Linked DNA regions of Yarrowia lipolytica. The protein of the gene in region 1 purifies or fractionates together with the protein of each later gene. This does not show direct contact. Links are inferred from orthologs where the notes say so. Each region holds a gene or a part of one and is shown on either strand. Other genes may lie near its edges.

Evidence for each region. Proteins that work in one complex are often made in the same cells at the same time.
Region 2: the proteins of YALI1_F34729g (region 1) and YALI1_E00574g purify together in Saccharomyces cerevisiae (affinity purification with mass spectrometry; 3 studies listed by BioGRID). This does not show direct contact. The link is inferred for Yarrowia lipolytica from reciprocal best matches to the Saccharomyces cerevisiae genes LIP2 and GCV3.

The regions. Positions count from the first base shown.
Region 1 is NC_090775.1:3,471,513-3,474,656, forward strand, and holds YALI1_F34729g (uncharacterized protein), read right to left. Parts: upstream 1,409-3,144; coding exon 539-1,408; downstream 1-538. Other genes in the region: YALI1_F34712g (uncharacterized protein), read left to right, coding at 1-229; YALI1_F34737g (uncharacterized protein), read right to left, coding at 2,164-2,257, 2,306-2,493. UniProt on the Saccharomyces cerevisiae protein: Catalyzes the transfer of endogenously produced octanoic acid from octanoyl-acyl-carrier-protein onto the lipoyl domains of lipoate-dependent enzymes. Lipoyl-ACP can also act as a substrate although octanoyl-ACP is likely to be the physiological substrate.
Region 2 is NC_090774.1:55,586-58,667, forward strand, and holds YALI1_E00574g (uncharacterized protein), read left to right. Parts: upstream 1-1,902; coding exon 1,903-2,421; downstream 2,422-3,082. Other genes in the region: YALI1_E00551g (mitochondrial 37S ribosomal protein bS6m), read right to left, coding at 1-279. UniProt on the Saccharomyces cerevisiae protein: The glycine cleavage system (glycine decarboxylase complex) catalyzes the degradation of glycine. The H protein shuttles the methylamine group of glycine from the P protein to the T protein.

The DNA of each region.
Region 1 (3,144 bases):
GAAGCTCAAATCACAGTCTGAGCTGAATAAGAGCCGATTGGAGCAATTTCCTATGACGCGAAGAGAAGTGGTTGACGTGCCCCGTGACGCTGACAATGTTGTGGAGGTCACGGAGGAGGAACTGCAAGAACTTGAGGAGCTGCAGCGAGAACGGGAGAAGCTGAAGATGGAGATTAGTCGTCTGAATCTGGAAAAGCGGAAGAGTGTCTATGGAAAGTTGCCTCAGTAGGATATATAGGCGTACGTATTTATTTTAATTTATTTACCCATGTTGAGGGTGCTATTGCTTGCCATTTGTGACCAGACTGTGACTTGGTAGGTGGCTCTAGGAGCTATGTTGCATCGTGAGGCTTAAGGCACGCTTGTGTCATTATCACTGTAACCTGGTGTATGCCACGGTGGCATGCATTTACAGTAGTTTATAGCACAGGTTATCAGATGCCAGTAAATCATCTGAATCATGTCTTCCATCCAGTTCTGGCAGCTATAATTTACCCCCTATTGCAAAATCAAAACTCTTTAGGTATGTACATACGGCCTAAGCCTGAGCCTCCTTCTCGACTCTCTTATAATTAACGTCCAGGTAGCTTGCCAGGGAGTAGGCGTAATCGTGGACCACCTCCTCATACTTGACGGGAGGACCCTGTTCGTGCACATTGGTCACCTTCTTTTCGTCCAGACCACATGGCACAATGTGGTCGAACCAGGACAGGTTGTTGTTGACATTGAGACAGATTCCGTGGCTAGTGATGTTTCGTCGGATGTTTACACCCACAGCGGCAATCTTGGACTCTCCATCCATGGTCCAAACTCCAGTGTTTTCAGTTCGGGTGGTGAAGATTTGGTACTGGGCAAGAGCACTGATGATACTGCTCTCCAGCAGACTGATGTAGCACTTGGGGCTCAGGGCCGAGTCAGAGCCGTCATCGTTAATCTTTCGGAATTGCAGTAAATCCAGAATGGGGTATGCGACAATCTGACCCGGCCCATGAAAGGTGGTTTCTCCGCCTCGCAGGGTGTGTGCGATATCGGCCTTGGAAACATCAATTGGTTCATCGGACGGCTCGGATTTCGTCTCTCGGTGGTTGGGGGTTTCCAGAAGGGCGTCTTCTTTGCCCTGCCGTCGACCCATAGTGTACACGGGCTGCATCTGGAAGGTCAGAAGCACCGGGTCCGGCGTCTCCTTGCCTTCCTTCTTGCAGTCCAGAAACTTGCGCACAAGCTTGTCGTGGATGCCCTGTGCATCAGAATACTTGATGGGGCCCTGGATGTGCAGGTGGTTGAGTGTCAGCGGTCGCACCGGTCGAGCTCGGGTCCAGATCATTGTTTCTTGCCTAAACAGACGTGGAATTTGTCGAAAGCGCACGGAAGCACCCAAACTTAATTCTGTGTGGAAATATGCCGGCATTTCATGGAATAAATCTTGAATAAACAAAATAACTCGAATAAAACGGGACGATGAATAAATTGTGTCTCATTTGTTATTCTGATTTTTTGCAATCAAAATATACTCCTTAGGAGCTTCACGCATTTGCTAGTGTCAAACAGAGTGAGAGCCTATACACTACTTGAAATAACAGTCGAGAATGTTGAATGTGTCGCAGGCACAAGTAAGCATAGACGTTCATCAGTGAGTCAGAATCTCTTAGAATAGACCTTGTACTGCTATTCGGACTGTGTTAGATTGCCTCTTTTGTATGATTTGGGCAAATGATGATGTCCTGGTCACTACTGTATTCATAAATCAAACACCCGAAGCCCGTTGGCGTATCGGAGCCCATCATGCACTGATAGCTTTTATCCGAGGTTGCGCGTGAGTCTATATCTGTGGATTTGAGGTCGTTTCGAAGGTGGCGACTTTCTAGAAGAGCTTGTGAGTCGGTTTCCGAAGTCGTTATTGAAGCTGAAACCCCGAGTGTTGTGTGGATGATACCTGTGTTTCGAGTGAATAACTGCTGGAGTATTGAGCTGGAGACTGGTATACAAATGGGTATGAAATTATCACTGAAATACATATTATCTGCTACTGGTAGACTGTCAACTCAGCTACTGCACAACTATCGGTACTTCCTGTACTCGTACAAGTACATAATGTACTGTAACGACTTGTTTTCTGTTGCTAACGTCTTCTCTTCTCCAGACCCTGAATTCAGGCTTATCAGATCAGAAATACATGTCCGTATTGAAGTTCAGTATCTTGGAAATCCAGTCTTTAATGGAGACACTCAATAAACAATAAAGAGTCGGATTTGTCATTCTAATTAAAACTCAACGAAATCTCTCTCAACCCCGCAGAGTCCCTCACCTCTTAGAATTTGTCTCACCATCAAGGAACGTCTCGTCTCGTTGATGACTTGTCTGACTCTGGCTCGACAAATCTGAGTCTGGATAGGATTTCTGGTTACCCAAAAGCAATAATGAGGCGTGTTTAATGCGTCCCCGGACTCGTTGTCGGCTTTTGCTCTTTTGGACCATCTTATCAACCTGCCCCATGTGCTATTGTAGTCTGTTTGTTTAGTTAGTAGCTGTAAGTAGTTACAGTAGGAGCACTTTCTCTGCACAGCAATGTAGTTTATAGCGCACAGTAGCTTGAGTGTTTTAGCACAACGTAGATAAAATCACTCAAGCGGTCTGTCAATGGCCGGTTCACGTCCTCGTCAGCTGTCTGGAGCTACACAGCCACTTTCGGGCACACCCGGTGACCCATAAAACAAAAATTGTACGTTTCCACAGCCGCACTATCCGAGTAATGTACCTGCTTCCGGTGCTTCATTTGAGGAGGGTGAGATGAGAGCATAAACTGAGGGTTAAGTGGAGTCTAACCATTAGAGGTGTGGTGAAAATGGATCACGAGGCACAAAAAGCTGCACAAAACACAATTTACGAGATTAATGCTGATGCTTCGTGTAAATGTGTTTTGGCGAGACCCCAAGAATTTTATTATATGCCGTTTTTCCGATCTCACCCCATAATGGAGACACAATGCTTGTACTTAGTACTTGTAGCTTTGTTTGTTGAGGGGTATGTACCGACTGTATGCACACTGCATTTGGCAGTCATAACAGAGAAGAGAACAGCACACCACATTTTGTTCATAGAGCTCTCAGATTTATTCAGAAAAAGCTCTCTCACAATTTACTCATC
Region 2 (3,082 bases), on another chromosome or scaffold:
GCAAAAGGTTCGAATCAAACGGGGGTCAGCCTGGACAGCTCGCATGATTTCGCCCTGGGCTCCGGGAGAACAGTCGAACTTCATGTAGAAGTAGTCGCCGACCACGTAGCTCTTCTGCTGGGCCTTCATGATCTGGGGCAGGGGCTTGAATCGCCAGCACTCAATGAGGCGGACCACGCCTCTGTTGCCGATGATCATTCGGCCGATCTGGGTGACGGCCTGCTTGGCGGCCGCGTGTGCCGGAGTCACCGATGCGATTCCAACGAGTTCGTAGAGCATTTCGAGTCTGTTGTGTAGAGGGGTAGTTGGGATGCGATGACGTCGTGTGAGAGATGAAGGTTGAAAATGTTACTGGATGCTGCAACCTTATTTTGGCACTCTGAACATGGTCGGTCTGTCAGTACAATACGTGAGTAATTAAGAGCACTTTAATATCGAGCCGAAATAGGTAGGTCGGATATATGAACAATAAAGGAAATTTACCTGAGGGGTCTGGTTGCTCTCAAAGTGGATAAAATATATGACTGCGTTCATGTAAGCCAGATGCTGCTAACATTCATCTCTAATTACTGCTCAGGTAAAAGTCACGTGCATTTTTTGCGTTCGGAGCATGTACCAGTATCAAGTATGTACTGTACATACCTGGAAATGACCTGTGGGTGCAACATCTCGGACAAGTACCATACCGGCAGGTATTGTAGCTTGCTCTGAGAGAGTCGCTGTATGTAATATCACTGACTACAGTATTACGGGCAGATGGCGTTTTAACCTGTTTTAACCTGTTTTAACCTGTTTTAACCTACAGTAGGAAGAGCATTGATGGCCTGTCACATTTCTCGAGACCACAGTCCTGGTTAATGATGATTATTTGATGGGGTCTATTGATAAATGGTATCTTGCAAGAGCTATGAGTGCTTCTGGGATTGTTTCCATTTTTGTGCAGCTAACAGACATTAGTTAAATGATATTGATGATGTCCTGGCTTTCAAATTTTACCCAAGTAATCAGCCAACTAAGACACTTACCTAAGTGCCTGGAAAACGGTGATATCTCGAGATACTGTAATAGTACAAGTATTAGGAACGGCGCTGGAGAAAGAAAGAAAAAGTCTACCTCTCCTGTATATCATTTGAGAAGATATGGATTCTCGATCAACCGACACACGTCTGTACTTGTAGAATATCTGTCAACTATTTCTCAGCCACTCGACTACTCGTGTGTACATACTGTAGATGCCTGTTTGTAGCCAAATTTCGTACTGTCCCCTATTCAGACGGTCGCCTGAAAGCTGCTTCCATAGTATCCTCTGATGAAGCACCGAGCCTGCAAGTTGTGCACATAAGTACGCATCAGACCCATGTGCGGCTGAATCATTGGTTGTGTGGGGTGAATTGGACCGTGGTTCCAGTCTAGGGATGGCCCTTCAGGAGCAATGACAGATCACAGAAGGGGCCCAAGTATTCGATTTCTCGAAGCTCAAGTCGGCTTCTATCATGTCACCCGCGTCAACTGTACTCAGTGTTATCGTGTTCTCAGCACTGAGTCTGACAGGCAGCTGAGTACGCAGTTGCAACTACTGCACATTATCGTATCTCGTTAAGGCGGCTGTCTCAATAGTCCAAGGTTTAGTTGCCGGCCTAGAACAGCTCGAGTTTGTGAGCAACTGTGTGGTGTATATAGAGTCTAGGGTGGTCGGGAATTGTTCTCGTCTATATTGATTCTCATTCTTGTGATTCATTATTCACCCACATTTATCAGATCACCCCCACAGTTCTCTCTACTTCACTTACCCTACCTTCACTGAGTCAAACCGAGTCACCCCAATCCACCTAACTTAACTGTGGCCTACCCCAGACAACATATCGTTCCACCACCACAACTACACTCACAAAAACACACACAATGCTTCGAACTCTGGCCCGATCTTCCCTCCGATTCGCTCCCCGAGCCACCATGGCTCCTACAATGGCTCCTCTGACCATGATGCGACTCAACCACACCCTCATCAAGGGCTCCATTCCCGACAAGTACTCCAACAAGTACACCCTCAAGTTCACCGAGGATCACGACTGGGTTGCCTTCCACGAGGACGGCGTTGCCTTCATTGGTATCACCAAGTACGCTGCTGAGGCCCTTGGAGATGCCACTTTCGTTGAGGTTGAGGAGGCCGGTAACGAGATCGAGAAGGACGATGCTTTTGGAAACGTCGAGTCCGTCAAGGCTACCAACGACATCATTGCTCCCTTCGACTTCGAGGTGGTCGAGTCTAACTTTGACGTTGCCGACACTCCCTCTCTCATCAACAAGGAGCCCAACGGAAACGGTTACCTCGCCAAGGTCAAGCCCATCGAGGGTGCCGAGGAGACTGAGGGTCTGCTCACTGCCGAGGAGTACGATGAGTTCCTCAAGAACGCCCACTAATCGCTGTGAACATTTTACAGATACTTAGCCCGAATATATAGAGTAATACGCAGGTTGTGATCTAAGCCTGTTCCCGGCTATCGTGTTTGATTTTTTCTTTTGTGTCTACATCACAGAAGTGAGCAAAGTGCAGAATTTGTAAGCCCACTGCAACCGTCGTCTCGCCGGTACGAGGCAGTATGCAAGTACTGTACGCTACAAGTAGAACTATCTTCTTTGAGCACGTTTTCCTATAGCAAAGTAAGAAAATGTAAGGGGAGGTGCATGGTGAGGCCGCAGTCTAATGTCGGTATATGTCCGAGGGCACACATGACTTGGCGAACCAGGCCCGTAACGCTCGTACCTGCAATGCAGCGAAAATATACTGTCTCAGGAACGAGGATACGGCATCCGTGAGCGAGCAGCAGCAAAAGCAATTGCAATTGCATAAATCTCTACTCTCGAGGTGGTCCACTAAGAGTCCATCTTTATCAAGTTTGCTTGGCGAGCTATAGGTTTAACCTCATACCCGTTGGATAGTTGCTAAAAGGTCCCAAAAGTGAGCCCCCCACGACGTTCTGGCTAGCAATCTTTCAAAGTCAAAACGCCAACGTCTGAGCGGTGTTGTATCGATCTAACGGGATCTAACGGGATCTAGGGTTGTATCAGACAATCTCCATGG